Oreochromis niloticus: one gene and its partner. The protein of the gene in region 2 interacts with the protein of the main gene of each other region in a biochemical or structural test. Links are inferred from orthologs where the notes say so. Each region holds a gene or a part of one and is shown on either strand. Other genes may lie near its edges.

What was found. The genes of interacting proteins can lie anywhere in the genome.
Region 1: the proteins of blnk (region 2) and cd79a form a complex in vitro, tested with the Homo sapiens proteins (2 studies listed by BioGRID). The link is inferred for Oreochromis niloticus from reciprocal best matches to the Homo sapiens genes BLNK and CD79A.

Annotation. Positions count from the first base shown.
Region 1 is NC_031976.2:25,272,925-25,283,667, reverse strand, and holds cd79a (B-cell antigen receptor complex-associated protein alpha chain), read right to left. Parts: upstream 4,983-10,743; 5' UTR 4,835-4,982; coding exon 4,789-4,834; intron 4,334-4,788; coding exon 4,016-4,333; intron 3,377-4,015; coding exon 3,261-3,376; intron 3,035-3,260; coding exon 2,972-3,034; intron 2,808-2,971; coding exon 2,682-2,807; 3' UTR 2,215-2,681; downstream 1-2,214. Other genes in the region: lipeb (hormone-sensitive lipase), read right to left, coding at 1,863-1,953; arhgef1 (rho guanine nucleotide exchange factor 1), read right to left, coding at 10,191-10,265, 10,703-10,743. UniProt on the Homo sapiens protein: Required in cooperation with CD79B for initiation of the signal transduction cascade activated by binding of antigen to the B-cell antigen receptor complex (BCR) which leads to internalization of the complex, trafficking to late endosomes and antigen presentation.
Region 2 is NC_031978.2:26,390,716-26,400,876, forward strand, and holds the start of blnk (B-cell linker protein), read right to left. Parts: upstream 3,921-10,161; 5' UTR 3,825-3,920; coding exon 3,756-3,824; intron 3,528-3,755; coding exon 3,465-3,527; intron 1-3,464. Other genes in the region: dntt (DNA nucleotidylexotransferase), read left to right, coding at 7,037-7,230. UniProt on the Homo sapiens protein: Functions as a central linker protein, downstream of the B-cell receptor (BCR), bridging the SYK kinase to a multitude of signaling pathways and regulating biological outcomes of B-cell function and development.

The DNA of each region.
Region 1 (10,743 bases), on a different chromosome or scaffold from region 2:
CAGGAGATATAAAAACATTTTATAATGAGAAACAGATGTAAATAATAAAATGAATGTGTAGAAATCTGGATTTGGACTGACTGTGAGGACCGGCTCACTGCCCCATGGGAATTCTTGTCATTGCTTGTAACACCTGTGCTTTTCCAAATGTCAAGTGACTGCAGTGAATAGGCCTGTCATCTGTAAAAGAAAGCCTGTCAGCAAAGCTAAAAGCAAATGAAAAGTTTACATAATTTAGAGACATTAAAATGGGCAAAGAGAAAATAAACTTAAGAGCTTTCCTTTTGTCTTGAATATAAATTCTCACTTGAAATTCCTTCCACTCAGAAAACACTACCGTAGTTGTTATATAGAAGTATCTTCTCAATGTCAGTTTGACTTACTGTACTGATCTTGTCTAAGCCTTTTCTAACTCATTGGTGTTTGTTTCCCCACTTTATCAAGCCTAAACAGACCCATGCTGTCGAAAAGTGGGTAATTATAATCCCAAGCACATAAAAACACATTGGCTGTTTTTCAAAAGGCACCATCCATCACAGCACAACCTCTGAAAGATGGTCTCTTTACATACGATGTGACAGTTCCAGATATGTGTCATAGTCAAAGAATTAAATCTATAGAAAGACATCTTTGTCCAGGGCAAAGGCAAAACAGAAGAGCGTGCAGCAGGAGCCCAGTAGTATCATGAGAAGGAAGTTTTGACCTTCCTACCAGGCAGAGCACCTTCACACGCACACAAGTCCAAACTCAACAACAGGAAACTTGCAACAATGAGCCTCCACACCCTTTACATAAATGGGTTCACCTAAGTTTTATAATATCATAGCATTATAGGAAAAGAAAATTATAAGTCTGATGATAAGATCTGATAAAACCTGAGCATGTTAGGAAATTTCCATAACAAGTAAGATTAGGGGAAGCGCTTCCTATCCAATTATAGGGGCCTACAATACACAATGTCATTTGTTTAGATAGCAAAGACAAAGATAAGATTCAGACTGCGGTCAGAAATATGGCTTTTTGAACGTGGTGGGCTGGACTGTTCTTAAATACAATGAGACAGAAGACTAGTCACCAGACGAACAGAGCAAAATCGAGAGTGTGTTTAGTAATAATAGTACATCCACAGTCCCTACGAGCATCGTGCTTTGAAAGTCTGCCACCGCCTTTCAGAGGCTTGCTGTTAGTCACGATGTGTCACCCTGCTCTTACGTCACATCGGTCGAACTAGTGACAGCGTCACCATCAGTCGACCTTAATCGATTAATGCACAGTGCAGTACAACTATAAACTCCCCCTTTGTGTGCATGTATTACGCTCGCAGCTTTAATCTGGTTAATCTAGTCTCCTCCTCTAGTGGTTGTTTTTTGCGTACCTGTTCAGGTGGGTCCGGTCGGTGTCAGCGGTCGACGCTAGAGTCACGAAAAGTGACAAGTGAACATAAATACGAGCACGTGCTACATACAGTATGTGTCCCGTAAACTAAAGTCTATTACATAGATAACCTGGCTGCTAACGTTATAATGACTACTAACGGTGTGCAGGCGGCTGCTACGTCTAAAGGATGCTCTAACTAGAGACATGCCAGCAACAGAGTGTCACAGTTTGACTGGACACTTCTTTCACCAACAGCTCGCACATGTTAACTCAGCGCCTCCCTTTTTCTGTCATACAAGAATCATGAGACTTTTACTGCTAAAACAGACCTAGCGGCAGCTACCAAAGGACAGCTAACTTAGCCGCTAACGGACGCTAGCAGGAGGACACAGCGTACAACTGGGGAGGGGGGGTGTTATTAAAGAGACAAGCCACAGAGGGAGCTTAGTAGGTAGACCAAATTTACAAAAAAAAAAAACCCTCACCCACTGGACCCTCTTTGTGTTTGGACGAGCGCCTTCCATTCACACCTTTTTCCAGTCTGCTAGTCCCACTACCCTTCTTGCTGGACGCCATATTCGCCCACTCTGTTTACGCACCGCCTCTCACATCTCTTATAACAGATCTACCTGGGAAGCCATGAGACCACGCCCACGCCAGAAATGTAAGCCAATGAAAACCTACCTCTGTTCAGTAACCAATCAGGACAAATCAAAATTTCGTAAGTGCCGCCCTACTCTCTTTATTGTGCAACCCCCTAAAAGAAACAAAGCCTTATCCTATTCACTGCACACAGAGGGCAATTGTATTACTCAGACAATTTATAGAGAGATTTGATGGATTTTTTAACATCATTTTATTATTCCAGCACTCACAGAAATAGCAAAAAGCACATAACTGTTGCAGATGCACGTCAATGAATATTTAAAAAGCCGACAACGCAACCTGGGGTGCATAAGTAGCCTAACCAGTCTGACCCGTCATGTTTTTCTGGAGCCTGTGTGCAAAATTAGAATAAAAAAGCTAAAGCAAAACACCCACATATATTTAAAAATGTAAATGTGTATATTTAAAAACATCATGAAACAAGTGAAAAAAAGTTTATAGTTGATATGTTGATAAGCACGTATTTCTAAAATCCTGGTTGCAGACCAGTGGATATTGTGTTAAGATTGTTTTGACAAATACAGTTTAAATCTTAAAAAATAAAAACCTTCAGAGTACAAAACTCTGAAATCAGAGCGTGCTGTAAGAAGCCTGCTATTTACATGTAACACTCGTAACCGTCTGTTCTTCACTTTGTTTTATGGTTTCTCCAGCTGGATTTCTTCCTCTTCTTCCTTAATGTTGCCCACATCCTGGTACGGGCCCTGTGCTTGGGAGCGTTCAATCTGATCGTATGTTGCACAACAGTCATCCAGATTTAGCCCCTGGTTTTTGATAAAATGAAAAAGGAAATCATGCAAAGGCTATTATCAGTAAAAGATATACACATCAACAACAAAAAGAACTAGAAATGGTGTTCATTTCTTAGCTCCTGCTTTCCTGCTTTGCCTTGTGTAATGGAAAGAGATTGAGAATATGTAATGTTGACCTGATATATATTTTCCTCTTCTTTCTTTGCTTTCTTTTTCTCCAGTTCATTAAGCTTCTTTGACTGTAGGGCAAACCAAAAGTAGTAAATCAGTCAAACGTTGCAAATTCCCATTGTTGACAGAGAAGAAAGAAAAAAAAATCCATGCCAGAGTCGCACAGCTCTGGCATTACTTTTTAATGCATGAATAATACATTAAAAATAATGCTCTTGTGGGTAAATGCTTGAAATTAAGGATAGCTTCAACAGTAGTGCTGCTGATCATTGTATAATAATGCAACGTTCTGACCTTGAACAGAAGAATGGCAGAAGGCAGCATCACACACAGTAATAGTAAGAATCCCTCAGCTATCAGGATCTTGTTTTTGGTGGTTTCACTCAGGTTTATGGTCTTCTCCATTGGCTCTAGGAATGCAGAAAGGGTTCAGAGGTCAAACAAACAAATTAGCACTTGCACATATTGGTTTTTAAACACGAGTTATCTTTTTCCACTTTAAGTGTGAACACGTGAATCCTGCGTATTTGTTAGCCTGCATATGAGAACGCAGGCCAACAAAATCATTACTTAAAAGCCTTACCAGGAGATTTATTATGAGACTGATAGTTTTGTTATATAACTGTTACATTTAGCATAAGGATCACAGTTAAACATACAATTGGTGGTACTGTTAGGTCACGTTAACAGTGCAGGTTATCGCACACATAATCCCTCTGACTGGCAGTTTTATGTTTCCTCATCTACCATCTGGTTTTAATGAGATTAGTGTGTAAAGAGGCCTTTCAGTGTGACTAATGCCTTTGCACATGACTGAAATGACATGACTGAAATTTGATCTAATTTTGGTGCTATTTAAAGTGAATGAATGGTGCAGCATACTGCAATGCAACAACCCTGAAGATGTAAAGATGAAATAAGTTGAATATATATGGATGCTGCCATTTTCACAGCTCTTGGACAGATTAACAATAACAGGATTTATGGCTTATGAAGTAGTGACAACCCCCCCCCCCCCCAAAACAACACATATACACACGCACACTCACTGTAGACACGCAGGTAGGTTCCATGTGAATAGATTTTAGCATTCAGCACACACTGGTAAAATCCAATGTTCTCCAGCTGTACTTTAGTGAAGTGTAGCACGGAACAATATATTTTTACAGAGTTTGACTCTTTGGTCTCTGATTTAACTGTTTGATTTAACACCACCTCCTGAGTTTTGTTATGATGGCGGATCCAGGTGACATTCGCTATCCTCGACGGTGATTTATAGCAGCATTCCAGTGAAGCGTTTTCAGAGACTGCCACACTCAGTGAGGGTCTGTCTGGTTCTAAAGTCAGGTCACCCCAAGCAAAATCCACTGTTGAAGAAAGCGCAAGTTAAGACATGTTATGTTGTAGGACTTGTTATCGAGGTCTCCGATTATTTAATGATGGCTGCATATAATGTCACAACCCATATTCAAAACTGACAAAGTATTAAAATATGCTTTAAAAATGCCAAATGATCTATAATTGTATAGCATAAGTAACCAGAACGACTGAAGCAAAAAATGTCATCATGATAGCACAGCCATCTGTTTTGACAGGAAATGTGGTTCACTGAAGCAGAACTCAAAAGGGTTAAACAAACTTTAATACATGAGTACATATATACTGAACCGATATGTAGAAATATGACATGCTGAAACAATTAATCTTTCAAAAACATAACTGAGATTTCTGAAATATGTAATAAACGGATGATGTCAATGATTACTTCTAAATAAAACAAGTCCACATACTTGAATGTGTTAAAAAATATAATCTGACTCACCCACCAAGCTGGAGAGGACAAATATTACAACCATCCCCATTTTCATAAGCCAAAATTCAATCTAGAAATAAAAACGGATGAAATTCTGATTTTAAAAAAAGTTTTAAAAAATTCTACACACAGCGCTGCTTCAGTCTTCTCTTCTGCAAGATCACACTGGTGTCTTGTTTTTCAGTGGCAGGATTTATGCTTGAATAAATTTCCACCAGCCCACATTTGCTTAAGTACTGCATCCAAACAGTTAAAAAAATAGAACCTTGTTTTTTAAAAAAAGTCTGAAAGTCTGTTGAACATGCAAATAGCAACTAAATGCTGCTCTTAACTGAAAATTGCTAATATCAAAAGTAGAAATGGAACAGTTGATAGAGGGACAATGTATTGTATTTCTTCTTTTCTCTGAAAGCAATAACTCAGGAGACAAACTGTTCAAGCTTTGAAGTAAAAGTCTTACTATTAAACATTTTGGAGCCTTGGTCAGTCGTTTTTCTTTTCAGTGTGCCTTGTGATTCCATTGGGTGAGATACTGGCAGACTATTTCAGTTTGGCGCCGTGCTGTTGTTCCTCCCACTCATCACCACTCTGATTAACATTTAAATCCCTAACATTTAAACATCTACATTACCTGCTACTGAGATGAATACATATCATCTACAGTGAGTACAGGACCCACTAGAGGACATCAAGGCCTCAGGCCACCCTCTGAAGTCTGCTGAAGGTCATTTTGTAGGACTCTGGGAGTTCTCCTGCTGTTCCTCCTTGCACAAAGGAGCAGGTACCTTTCCAGCTTTCTTAAAGTAACTGCCCGTCTCCTGGAACCTCCTTCATGCTCTTAACACCATTATTGGGAGACACTGGAAACCTTCTGGCAATGGCAAGTATTGCTGTACCTTCCTGGAGGAGTTGAAATACCTGTGCAACCTGTGTAAGGTCCCAGTGTTGCCAAATTCTAGTAGTGACACTGCTTGTTATAGCACCTACTGGAGGGGAATAGTTGGAAGAAGACCTCACAGTCCTTTGTAGTCTGTTCTTGTCCTGTTTGATGGCTGATCCAAACCTTCCAGTGATATACCTGGATTGTTGCAGAGTGCACCCATCAAAACTACAAGAATGTCAAATTTAGATTAATCAGACAAAAACAAACACTTTGTCTCAAATGAGGTCAGACCCATAGGTGGAGAGTTTCTGGATCTTGTTTACCTTTTTTGTTTTACAGTGGAGCTTTGTTTAATTGGTGCATGCAGTGTCATGAACTGTGTTCCTGAACTAATGCAGTGCTTTCCACTACAGAAATCTATTGTTTCAAACAGCTTTGGCTTAAGATCCATTTAATGTTTTTCAGCCTTGTTCCCTGTGTATTAAAAAACCCTGTAAATTCTTTGCAATTCAACATTTAGAAAGAGATAGCTACTTGCACATAAAGCCATCATCTTTACCTTTTAAATACCTTTCTGGGACTTTTTGCACAATTAACTGTATATTGCAGATTAATATAATCAGATTTGAGATTTGACACATTTTTTCAATTAAATATTTAGAATTTAAAGGACTGGAATTTACATGGAATCCCGATATTCTATATTTCATGTGTTTTTAAAAAAAAATATGCACTGTATATTTAAAAAAGAAATGTAGTGAAGCCCAACTATGGTTGAACCCTAAACAATTGTCATGATGTTCTCCCAACTGTAAATAAGAAAACAGAAAAAAATTTCCCCAGTTTATTAAAAAAAAAAAGAGAGAAAAGAAATAAAAAAACAGAGCGTACCACAAATTTCTTTAGGTATACATCATTAAAGAGCATCTTACACAATAAAAATCAAACCCAAATACACAGTATAGTTCTTGCATATACAATGTTTATAGATAAGATGGCAAACACCAGTATGGCAAGGAGCAGTGTCTATTTCGTTTTTTTTAATATACTGGGCACTGGTCGGCTGAGTTGGTAGAGGGCTTACATCCTCACTATGGGATAGAGATGGACACAAAAATAGTGTGATGAAGCCCAAGTTTAAACTACATATAGAAACAACCCTCAAACCTTAAACCACCCAACCAGAATCCTGGCATGATTTTTCTCTGCTTACTAGTCATGTTTCTCATTGAGGTACACACACAGCAGTGATTGTGTTCAACTAAAGAGTCCTTTATGAAGCAAACAACTTGATCGTTAGAACAAGGCACCACTCTATAAATAAAGTTTTCTATACATTTTGTATATGGAATACATGAGGAAAAGCATTTAAAGGAGAGAGCGCGAGAAGTGCCTGTCGTAGTTGTTGAGCCAGTGGAGACTGAAGGAATCAGCTGATGCTGTTGGTAGCTGGACTCCAACTGCCTACCACCTACATTAATAAAAATTGAAAAGCACTGTGGGTAGCCTGAGGACAGAGCTGGTTGGCACTGAATATTTTTTCTTTCAATTGATTCACAATCATAAAACTGCAAAGACAAGTTACAGGCAAGTCCTGCCTCTCTCACCATTGTGGAAAATGCATAGTAAATAATTACAAAAGCCTCTGTGGAAAATACTCCCTCCCCAACCTACTTAAGTGACTCAATACACAAAATGTGGGATAAAACTGTGCAGTAGAAACAAGTGATTACGCAATTAAAAGGTGTGAGTGTGTTATGAAGAAGAGTGTGTAGCTAAAAAAAAAAAAAAAGCTTAACACACAGAGGGGAGCTATTATTATTTTTTTGTCTTTGTCTTTTTTTGCCTTCAAACTACATTTATATACACTTCCAAAGAGCAATACATGGAGAGAGATGCTAGAATCATATATAGAAGACTATGAACACTTAAGTGATCAAAATGAGCAAACCCGGTGAGGTTCAGTAGGTTCAAAGGTGGCATTTGTTGTTGTGGCAACAACAACAATAAGAATGCATGTCAGGAAGTGCTCCTGATTACAGTGCTGGTAAGAGTGATGTTGGAGTGAGTCTACAGTTTTCCTTCCTCCAGACCTTCAGCATTTCCTTTGTGTCCTCATCTGGCTGCAGTATTGCTGCTGTGTCAGTATCAGCCCCATATGTTCAGCTTAGTACCAGGGGCGTGTGCGGTGCGTCTCTAATCCTCTATAGCGCAACTTTTTTGTTCAATGTTAAACTTCCCAGTCCTATAGATTGTTAATGTCTTATGACTAATCCCAAATAATCTAACATTTTTCATCTTGGTATTTTCTTTACATTAACTTTTAAAAAAATTGTGTTTTTATTATTCAATGTGCTTTTCAAATCCCTTCGTGTTTGGGGTGAAGAAAAGCAGCTGCTGATTCCAGACTGCATTACTGAGCCACCATTCCTGCATCAACATTTTGTGACACGCTACTACACAGATGATGCACGTCACTAATAAAGCTAATGTACAAATGAGGATCTAGCGGTTTGCTGTTACTTCTTTGGTCCTGTGTGCACAGCCCCAGTTACGCCACAGATCAGAAATTATATTACCATAGTCAACTGCTCAATAAAATATCACCATAGCTCAAATTTTCAATATACCAGAGATGAACAGATTTTTTTTTTTTTAAATCAATCTGATCTCATAATACGCCGAAAAGTATAACCCCAACTAAAGTGTTTTGGATGAGCATTTAGGAACCCTCTCTAAAGCTAAGTTGAAACTTCTGAAATGATATGAGCGTGGTAATACTGAGCTCTCTATATATTTCATATATATACATTTTTCTGTATTTTTTTGTTTTTTAATATAGGGGCGCAAATCCTAATCTCCTACTTTCTACTCTCTCATGACCATCAAGTTAAAGGTATCTAAGAAGCAACCACCTTGAAACCAGTTGCCAGTTCTTTCACTTTTCTATTCCACTCTAATCTGCTCTACACACGCAAGCTTCGCTTTTGTTTGTCCTGTCCGACATTTGCACATCGCTTTTTCTTTCTGGCCTGGCATTGTATCAGCTTCACTCAGGTGAAGAAGCTCACTGACACACAAGGACTCAAGGGAATAAATAAAAGCGGTACATACAAACAAATCTCCACTATTAACAGCAAGATTACTTATACTGCCACTATTTATAAATGATTTTTATGTGACCTAATTACAGTAAGAATCATCCAAAGAAATATATCCTTAATTAAAAAATTTGTAACGCACATACACACACTTTCTTGCATGCATCGTTTCAATAATGAGGGCTGCCTTAATAACCATACAGAATACAGAGCTAAAAGTAACAAAATTAGCAATAACTGTGTGCGTTCATCTTGTTTTGATTAAAAGTGCATCTCTGTTTTACTTTGGCATAGACTAGAAATAACACTATATATCAGTAGTAGTATTTCAATAGACCTAATGCTACATTGGCCATTTAAGGCTCTCTCTTTTACTGTACATTTGAATTTGGCATTACTGTAAATTATTTTCCATCATGCATGTTTCTGGTTTGCGTATGTGTGTTACAGCAGACTCAAATCACTATATTTTCTTAGGCAGCAACTCACTAACAGCAAAATATTGCTTCATTTCTTTTGGCACCTCTCACTAACAGCATCCTCAAACCCCAATTTAGCATTGTTTTTTTCTTTTTTTGTATAGCCCTCTATCCAGCATGCACGCACACATACACACCTCCCATGTTCCATTACTGAACCACTGCACTGTGCACAAAGCCCTTCCCTAAATGGCCAATTGGTAAAAGGAGAAAAAACCCCCCCAAAATAAAACTTCTGATTGGCTGCAAACAGCTGACATACACACCCACACACATACACACATACACCCACACACACGCAAGAGGGGGAAGAAAAAGAAATGTATCGATGGTCTGGTCATAGATGTATGACGGTATAGGAATTTCCAGGAAAGCCTCTGAAAGTCACTCAGTCCAAACCAGCACCAGTCAAAACCTGCACAGAAAAAAAAAATCATTAAAAACCCCCCCCAAAAAACCAACATACTTTTTAATATAAATCCTGTTTTTTTTTTTTAATCTAGTATTTTTGTAGTCTCATTTTGATTCTTCAGACTTTACAGTCACAAAAATGCAAATGCAGCTTGAGAAGAGCTCATAAAAATGCAGGTGCTGTCATCAGTCACCTTCAAATGTTGCCATTAGCTCACGGCCAATAGTCCCAACTACCAGCAGTAAGTGGTTTTTGTTTTTGCCTTGGGCTTCACCTCTCAGGCCACGTACAAACTGCCCCAACTTGTTTATGGATTTTGCTTGAGATATACACAGTTTAACAATAACACTGCACATATTTTTCAGGGTGAAAAAAAAAAAAAAAGCTGTCCAAAAGCTAAACCTGATTCTTTTAACCTTGTCCATTCGTGAGTGGAAATGGCTCTATAACATTAATCATAATGACAATTCGATACTTAACATGACTATCTAGTTTAGTGTTCTCACCTAACGGCCAGCAGGAGGCATTAAGGTGGGTCACTGGAAGCTGCCCCCCTCCAGTGAGAACTTGGAAAGGGCTTCCTGCAGCTTGTGGTGTTCCTCTTCTACAGTCTGCAACACACAAAATCAATATAACCGTAGGAACTGAGAACACACAAACACACACACAATTCAACCTTCTCCTCTTAACATCCTCTCTTCGTCTCCCTCGCTGCTTCTCTGACACATCCCATTGCAAGTGCTGGACATAATAGCCATTTTTAGAGAAGTCCAATTTCACAAGGCAATTTTCAGCAAAGCAATAACAGCAGCAGTTAAATGGTTTTCTATTCTCTGGTTTCTCTTTTGTGCCATTTGGCCCCATTTGTCCACAGCTCACTCCTTACTCAAGTTATCCCCACTGAAATCTTCATGCCCAGCTCTGAGTCTCTTTCTAGTCAGTTCCAATCTTTTGTTAGAGCTGACATTTCTATCTGCCCCTGTCATACGTCCTGCTCCCTGCTTACAGTTTTCTCTCAATATTCCCCTCCATCTCCCCCTCTGTTCACCTGTAGTCTCTTTAGTTGTTCCTCCAGGCTGCGTAGCCTCC
Region 2 (10,161 bases):
GCTATATGTGCTTCATAGGAAGCATCTGCAATGGAAGCACGTGGTTTTTTTTTTCGAGGGGCCTTCGTTTGTAATGTCAATGTGATACACAGAAGCTGAAAGTGGCTTCCCCACATAGCCGCCACACACAGGCGGCATTACAGAGATGGAAGCTGACAGTTCTTTTGATCTTCTGCTTCTACATATCGCTTTTAACCTGTCTACCTGTGTGAGCGAATGTGGCATCAAAAAGACAGAGATTACCTTTATCCGCGCTGCGCTGACTGTCTGTCATTCCTCTCCGTACTGTATTATACAGCCATCCACCGCTCGAATAAAACTGTTTTTCTTTTCTCACCTTTCATTCTTACCGCTAAATCGTGACCACGCGTTGTGGGTGCAATGTGAATAAGATGCATTCGAGCCAGGAGCTGATGATGACGTTGCCATATGAAAGCAGTTCAGATCTGTGTTGCTCACTTTTTTTAAATGGATTTTATGACCTTTGCTCCAGCCACTGTACATTACATGAATATGTAAAATAAGCCAAAGGCAATGCTCAGCAGAAGCATGCTCGCTGGATGACATTCAGATACCAAAGTGCAGGCCCTGCTCTGCTTCTGGACACACGCTGAGCTCCGGATGAGTCAAAAATAACTTATTACAAATGTTTCCTCTTCTTTGCTGGATTTTAAAAACCCATAGAAGAGGCAAACAATGCCTTTAAAAATTCTCCTTTTATTAATAATTAGTCCTTTCAGTGATGTCACTGGAGTGTTAACAACACTGCAGTTGTTGTCAAATGTGATTTTAGGTTAACACAGGCAAACACAGCCCCTTCAAACAATACAAAAACGTATATTTGCAGGCGGGTCGGTTTTTCAGAAGCACACTGATGATTCAACCACTGAGTCTTTAAAACGGTTGCTCTTGTAAAATAAAAGGAAGTGACATTACACTGCCAGGGGCAATTTCAGGATGTTTGTCAAAAATAGAAGAGGAACTGGATAGTTGCAATGAGCAGCGTCACTTGTAGTAGAGAAAGTAACAGAGCACCATCTGCTGGAATTCGTCAACTGAAAATCCAAACAAAACCTTTCTCAAAGACACAAATGTCTTTACAGTAAAGACTTTTTTCAGATATTTTCCAAATATATGTATCTATGAAGTTATTCTGTCAAACACAGACAACTTTATACACTTTCTGTAAGCATGCTCATAAACACCAGTGAACATTTAGTGTCATAACTCTTCTGTAACTTTCCAGATCTGAAAGGTGAAGCTTCTGCATTCTTTATCATTACCAGTAGGGGGCAACCTCTCTGGTTGTATGACAAAGACAGGTTGTCTATAGGAAAAGGATTCCACTAATCATTCCAGAAAACAGTTTCCTGACTGTGCTGTAGTATAACTTGTGAGTTAGAAATCTTCTCAGTTACATCATGGACTTTTTCTAAATTATGGCTACTTGTAGAGCCAATACTGCTTCAGGATGGGGCCACCTTGTGGTTGACAGCAGTGCCCAGAGTTTTCTTGCTCATCACATCCCACTTCACTGTGACAGCCAACATGCTTAAAGCCTTCACAAACTAGCAGGTGTCCATATTTTATATACAGTCATAACAGCCTAACATCAGCTTGCTAATATATTCCAGTAGCAATGCTAACAAGCTGATACTGATGGGAGCATTTGATTGGAGGAACAACCGGAAGGTAATCAAACCACAAATATCTGTACTATAGAGCTTAAAATAGCAGATTATATAACATTTTGCATTATATACAGTCTATTATTTGTGCAAATTGCTTACATATGCTACATAATAGTTAAAAATGCCAGCCTGCCTGTTTGAGCAAATTATAAAGTCAAGAGCAAAACAAAGTCCTCTATTGACACAGAATATTTGCTGCAAATTTCATGCCCGTGCACCCAGTTGTTGCTGAGCTACTTTGCTCTGAACCACAAATGTCAACCTCCTCTTGCGGCACTGGAGAAAAAGTTAGAGGTTTGCAAAAGTCAGCATGATTCAGCCTCTGAGGACGCCGAACAGCAGAAGGAAATTTCATCCAAAAGCGATCCATCGAGAAGCTGGTTGGGGATTTTAGGTTATAGATCAAAATCCTTTGCTGCAGTAAAAATACTGAATAAAAAAAAATAATCAACTAGACCAAAAAAAAAGCTTAAAAGTTTGACTGGGGAATGTCTGTCAGACACCGCAACCTTGAAGCTAGTTAAACTAAAAAGCTGGGCAGCCATTCAATAAAAGCATGGGTTTACTTAAGCGTGCACTGGCTGGATCCGTAGCTAAGGAGATCCATCAATCGATACACATACTGTATGTATATGTATATTTCAGATCGGTGCTGTTAATGTGCACATCAAAGCCTCTGCTCTGAAGTATTAATCAATTTGACTGATAAAAATCCGCATCTTTTTTTTTTTTTAACTATGCAGGCCAAACACTTCAGTGATGCAATATCCCACCTAAAGTGGAGTTAGCTCAGGGTCATTGAATAATGAATAGGCGACTAGGCCGCTGCTCTAATTTAGAGCGTGGCAAGAAGTGTGCATAAGCGTCCACTTAAAAGATGCATATGAATGAAAGCTTCTTCAGGCTTGCCAGTGTGTGGGAGGTTTTTACTGAAGTATTATAAAGATCCCCAAAACACCAAATATTAGGGAGTTATAAACCCTCACTTCAGTTATTTGCTGCATAAAATCCTCTTTAAACAGCGTTCCCCCTCATGACTGAAGCAGATTTAGAGATACTTACTTAAGTAAGTGGGGATTACAGCTTTATTAGCCATGAGACTCATTTCACACTCCTTACTCTCTCCCGAACAGGGGCACTCAGCTGCGCTCATTTTGGCAGCCTGCTTCTCGGTAACTATGAGAAAGGCCTCAGAGACTGTACACACGGTGTGGATGATGGAGACAGAGCAGCGAGGGTGAAACCAAAGCAGAAGTTACAACAGATACACAGACTTCCACATTAGCAGGGCCACAGTTTACACAAAGAGCAAGTGTGGAAAGTAACGCAACCGGCTTTAGTCATGTTTCGTATCCTGTGAACTCTCCTGTTTGTCAACTTGAAGCGTGCTTTTAGATTCATAGTAAAAGTGTGTTCGTCAGTCAAGTCAAGCAGTGACATTTTAACAAGAAAATAATAAAAAAATGTCTGCCAGAGTAACAGAGAGAGTGAGAGTTTTACAAATAAACCAGCCTCAACTGATTCTTTGTGTGTGTGTGTGTTTTCTAGCAAAATGGCACAAACAGCTCGAGGAAATGTAATTATTCTGCTGCTGTTAATGTCATAATCACAATAATAACAACTGCTCGTCAGGATTTGACCATTTTAATTAGAATAACAAACTGAACACAACCACAACCCTGATATGATCCTGGGTGGATTAGTAGATTATGTAACTGCGTGGGAGAAAGAGCCATTTCTGGATTATTCAGGTACAAATGAGGAAAGACTCACCAGAAATCTCTGTCCATTAATTTTCAGTCTGTTTACGGTGACGGCGCATTCTTGCATATTATTCTGAGGAGAGGAAACATATCCATTCACTACTTTTAAATTGCTAATTACACACACTTATTGAAACAACCAAACATTTAACTTCCAGTCATCTAATGTCCTGGTCTTACTTTAACACTTTAGCTGCTAATTTGCATTAACATTAACATTATACATGACCCTCAGAATGAAGTGGTGAATATTTAAACTATGACAAAACACAAGCATCTCTCCCATTTCCAGTGGACTCACCTTATACAGTAAGGAGGCTACTTTTGCCTGGTCCCACCCCTCGCACTCCTCTCTGGACGGCAGGTTCATTTCGGACTCTACAGGGAACCTCTGAGCACGAGTGTGCTTTTGGAAGTACAGTAATAGACTGACCCGTCACGCACTGTGGCTCTAGCGCAGCTTCAGCAGGGAGAAGTACACACAGAGAGGTCACCTCATTATAACCAACACACGTTTCCCGTCTCTCTCTCTCTCTCTCTCTTAACCCATAAGTGGTGTGGCAATTCATGTCTTCTTAAAATTTTAAAATTGTCCCATAGAATACAATGAGCCATTAACAAATAGGGAAGCGGGGACTTCCTCGTTCTATATAAATACTTCTGAAACAAAAGTTTCATAACAGTGGGACTTAATTTTTACATCCTAGCTCATGCCTGCTTCATTTATGGTTAAAGGATGTAATCCACTCTGCGTTTATTTTGATTTCAGGGGGTGATCGTATTTCACTCATGAGGCTCTTTAGGTTGCATTATTCTCTGAGGAAAGATGGCCATATATAGAGTGCATTCCTTCATTCAGCTTTTTTTAGAAACTTTGATAAGTTTAAGTTAACCTAATTACGTTTTTCACATATATATATATATATACATATATATATATATATATTTTTTTAAAATGATACTTTCAGGTCAGACATCACTACTTGCCATCCTACCAATGCCATTTGACTAGAGTGCAGTTACTCTTGCAATGCAAAGTGATATCAGATGAGGACACGGGCAGAACAAGTGGTGGAATGTAACTTAATAGAGCCTGCTGCTAATATTTGCTATTTGCATGATACACTGTATTGCCATATTTGTTCATCTGCCTTCACATGCATATGAACTTCAGTAACATCCTATTTTTAAACCATAGGGTTTGCAGCTATAACAGCTGACCACCAAACCCAGACTCGTCCTTCAGATTGCCAGATGGAGATACGTGATTCATCACTTCAGAGAACATCTGTCCACTGCTCTAGATTCCAGTGGTGGCGATCTTTGTGCCACTGCATCTGACGGTTTGCATTGGGTTTGGTAATATAAGGCTTGGATGCAGCTGCTCGGCCATCAAAACCCATTCCAGGAAGCTCCATACGCACTGCTCTTGAGCTTTTAAAGACTTGTGTAGCTTTTTCAGTATGTTTGAACCATTTTTAACATTTTTTTAGGAGCAGCAGAACAGTGTAGTTAAAAAATTCTGGTAAACTGACTATACTGTTGTCTTAGCAGAAAGAACAAATGGACAAAGTTAAAACGAGCTTTAAGCTAAATGGAGCATGTATCCCATCCTGCCTTGTATCAAGGGCTCAGGGTGGTAGTGCAATGTTGTGGGGAATATTTTCCTGGTACTCTTTGGACCCTTTAGTGTCAACTGAGCATCGTTCAAAGGCCAAAGGCTACCTGGGTATTACTGTATACGCTGTCCATGCATGCACCCATCTTCTGATGGTTCTAACAATGCACATGTCACCACAAAGTGCATCATGTCAAACTGGTATCTTGAAACTTTACTGTTAAGTAAAAGTTGCCAAAGGTTGGCTGTATTTCTTTTGATTCCAGTATTGTACGTGAAATTTCTTTGAGCACAGCATGCGTTGTTTGAATATTTGTGTGCTTGTAATGACTTATTATAGTCTAACGAGACTATAAAACCCCAACACAACTCTTAAAGTTGTACTAATTTTAAAACATACACAACATAAATGTCATTATTTTCATCTTCAAAGTTGTAGTAAATGGCCTCAGGGCACAAAAAAAGAAATAAACTAAAAAAAAAAATCAAGATATGACTGTCACTTTGTCCTTTCTAAATGGAACTGAATATGCACCATAATTGTAATTATCAGACAATTTTCTCTTGCACCCACAGAGCTACTCAAGAAAGGTGGAAGAGAAATTGGATTCATTGCTCGTGCAACGATTGCTGCTGGCAGTGTGAGAGCCATTCGTCTTAGTGATAGAATTTCATCGGTCTCACGTTTGGATGGGGGCCAGCACCCTCATATACAACTGACTGATTGGGATGGCGGATGGGTGGGGGTAAACAGTCAAACAATTAGTGGCGTCTGCCCCGTGACACCCGTTAACCCCCAGAACTCCGCGGTAATGAGATCTGTGTAATAATTTCTGTGTAGCAGACAGAAACAAGGTGTGCTTATTAAAGTGACGAAATGAACAGAGGCTGTGGTAATTAGATGTAGAATAAAGGCCTGTAATGATTTCATCACCCTCGCCTAAATCAACAAATCATTGCTGTTTGGTCTACTGAAGCAGATCCATTATTGCAGATAATTACAGCAAAGACCTGCTGAAACCTTTTCTTTTACATTCCTGACCGCCATAGCACAGGAATCATAACAACAGGAGACATGCTGTAATTACCTCTTGGGAAACAAAAGGAATAGATGAATTCAGCTGATTAAATCTTTTTTCAGTCTGCATTTCTGTCCGATCCATATGCAGCCGTATTCCCCGGATAAACGCTCCTAATCATCAACGGCTTGCGTATACAGTACCTGAGTGTGTGCAAAGGCCGTGCACGAGCTTGCGGGCTCTCCGGGGAAATGCCCACAAAGGCTCTCATTTTTAGGCAGTAAGCTAATTAAAGCGGCAGAGCAGATGGTGCAGGCTTGGTCCGGACATAATGAGACGGTGAGTGGCGAGACGAACTGGACATGGCAGGACAGCTGTGAGGGGTTTGTGAGGTGACCAGAATTCAGGCGTCTCCCAGGAGCGAGAGGCCTCGCTGGCAGTCGAGAGGAGCAGAATTTAAAGTCCATGAAAACTTTATGAGCAGCTTTTTAAGAAGAAGAAGAAGAAGAAGCAGCAGCTACTGGATTAGTAATTGTTTACTTCCTCCAAGTGTGTGTTGGTTGAAAATACTTCACTGGAAATGAGTAATACCACGTCAGCACAGTGTTTTTCAAAAAAAAGAAAAAAAAATATTATTTTTTCTCTCGCTCACATCCTCAATCACTCGATCTTGGCAGGTGGTTTTTGGTAAACACCAAATCCTCAGCACCTGTTGCCAGAGGCTTTTCCTGTCTGCCAGCTCTCACCAACTCTGCTCCCAAATATTAAAAAAAAAAAGAGAGAGAGAGAGACACAAGTGAAAAAAACAACTGCGCCATTACCAAAGTAGGTGTTTCTTTTTTTTTCCTGGATGGAAGTTAAGTGGCGCACAACAATACCGACACAAACTCACAAAAGCGGCGATTCCTAGAGGTGCAGAAATACTTTGGAGAGCTCATCTCAGAGATGTTCCACGCTCCTATTGTGCCTCGCGCGAGGAAGAGGTCAAGGCCGGCCGAAGCAAGCGCTCCCAGGCGTGAAGGGGTGAAGTTTGAGGATGTCAGGCTGTACCTGGTGGAGAGGAAAATGGGCCGCAGCAGGAGAAGCTTTCTGACCGAGCTGGCCAGGTCAAAGGGCTTTATTGTGGAAGACGTCCTCAGGTTTGGGAACCAAAAAAAAAGCTTGCCATTTGTGTCATTCACAGACTTAGCAAGGCTTGCCACCTAAAAGCTTTTCTCAATGTGAAGCTGAAAAGAGCTTTAATGTAAGGGGAGGAGGGGAGTGGGTACACCTTTATTTTCTGGGTTTGTATTTCCTGGAAGCAAACAGACTGGTTTGATCTGGCAGTTGACTTTTGAGGCCTCTAGTTTAACCCTAGAAGCATTCAGCAAAAGCATTTTCTGGCAGTCAAGCTTATGACTTCAAAATTAAATACTTTCCATGCCTACAAAAAGTTTTATTATAGTCTGAAAAAAAAAACAATTAAAATTTTGTGGAATAATTGCCTGTGCACAGAATTTTTGACTGATCGGAGTGGGAAAAACATGCCTGGACTTCAACACTGAGACATCCAAAGTTACTTTTTGGCACTTTTCTGCAAACTTCTTTTTTTCTTAGAAGCTATGGCCCAATTAGCTAAATAGAGAGCGACTATTGTCTCATGAATAGTTAATTAAGAAGGGTTAGGGCATCCATCCTGCCTCCTCTTCACCTTAGTGGATTTCCCCCCCCCTGAGCCATTACTCACAGCTCCACACATAAATACGTTAAAAGCAGGGGGAAGAAATTGGCTAAACCAGCTGCAGCTTGTTGGCAGCCAGAGAACTACAAACAATAGAAGAAAGGTAACAGAGCACACGCAAACTTTTTAATGAGTTTGGTGAAAGTTTTTTTTTTTTTTGTTAAGTCTCACTTAAGAAGAGATGTTCTGTGAGCTTGTTCCTTGGGATGATGATTCATCTATTGCGCGGTAATTACAGACGCAGCGTGCCTCCGTCGTTTTTTCTGCCTCTAATTGAAAGTATCTTTTTAAAGTCCCAAACTGTGAGCACAGCAGAAGTCCTCCGCTTGACACCAGAGATGCTTTAGAGTCAGGCTTCTTTGTTAACGCAACATCCCGTTATTTAGATGTCGACTTTGTTTTCAGTGCTGGGCGTTAAGCTCAGAGTTTGAGCTCCTCTGGTGAGCAGGTGTTTTTGTTTGTGTTTTTCATTGCTTTGCTTTCATGGAAAGTGAGGGCAATTTCTCCTTCTAAGTTAACATTAGCTCAAGGTTGGAAAATGGTTGAAGTTGAGCATATGATGTAGGGTGTATGTACAGGGTTTAGGCAAAGGGTCCCCATGAGTATGCTATAACCAGCGTAAGAGCCTGTGTGTGTTTGTGCGCGAGACAGAGAGAGAGTGTTTAAATGCGTGTCTAAGTGGGCCTGCCAGCCGTGCACCAGCTTGGCCATGGCAGCATTCCCAGAAACACAGCTTGAGCGCTCCTACGGTTACACTTGGCTTGATACAATTGTTTGAAACCAACGACAGGAAGTAGAGCGTGCCCGCCTCAAACTGACATTAATTCTGCAAGCCGACAAAACTGCTATCAGCTGCAGTTTGATAGCAACACCTCACGTGCCTAGTCTTACACACGTTATAGGCAGACTGCCTCCAGCATATGGTCAGATGCACTGCCTGCTTTCCTCTGAGCATAAAGGAACATGCTCGTACACGCACACGCACAATCACACGACGCACATACACACAGGTTTCCACATTGTATGAATTTCAAGGCCTGTGCGCATGAACATGGATCAAAATATTGACATGTTTGTCCTGGGTGACTGATGAGCTGCATTACATGCTGTTTCGCAAATGGGAATAACACACACACACGCACACATACTTACCCCATTAGTTTAGGTCATAGGCACCATTTTTCAAACGCTTTGTTTTCTGAGGAATGATGTTTTATCCTTGAATTTGTCACAGCAGTTAGATATGATGTTGGATGTGACTGTACACATGAGCCTTTGGTGCAGCTGCTGTAAAACAAAAATCAGTGGCAGAGAATTAAAAACATTTAGCTCAATATGCATCAATATTTATCGTATGCTCGTGTTCTAACATATGTTACCCGAGTTCCACTACTAATTATTCCCTCCCACTGAACCTTCATTCCCAATGCAAGCCGTACCTCAACACCCACATCAAGCTAGCAAGCTAGCAAGCTAGCAATCACTTCGCGGGCCACCTTCACATTCTTTTTATTACTTTTTTTGTGGACACTAACACATTTATTCATTTATTTGTTTTCTCTGTACACTACCACACTGGATTTTAAATCAAACAATTTGTATGTAATTGAATTTGAGTATTTTTACCTTCAAGCAACAAAAGCGCTATATTAGCTGTGCTGTTTAAGACTTACCACCACTTTCATAGGCTCAAAAGTAATTGGACAATGGTTTGGGCAGTTGCAACTGAGATTTACCAGAATGGGGAAAGGAGAAAGGTATGGAAAAGGAGAGAAACGTCTCATGATCTGAAGCATAACACATTATCTGTTAAGAATGGTAAGGGTATAGAAACGGCATGTACGGCTAGCATGTGAAACTGGGCCTCCAGTGTTTCTTGATGATGTGGCTGCTGATACAAGGTAGCAGGAGGAATTCTGTGTACATGGCTATACTGCAGTTTTGCAGTATAGCCAAAACTGCAGTATAGCACTTTTGTGTCAAAACTACAAAAGTTGTGTCAACGTCCAAAACATATGGACATAAACGAATGGAGGAGCATCCACGATGCATGGAGGTGGTGATGGCAGCTGGGTTGAGTGTAGTCTCTTTTTAAAAGTTATTGTCATACAACTACATATATCATGTGTGTTCTTGAAATGCACTTTGGAAGTCATAGTTGGCTTGGTCAATTACTATGCTTCTCTCCAGCTTTTATTTCAATAAGAGATATTTCTATTTATAAAAAAAAAAAAAGTCAGTTATTTGGAGTGATGGCAGGACTTAATTTAGCAATAAATTTAACATTTTTCACTACAGATTTTGTTTGAAGAGTAGGTCACACCTAGATCTACCGTTGGTTTTTAAAGGT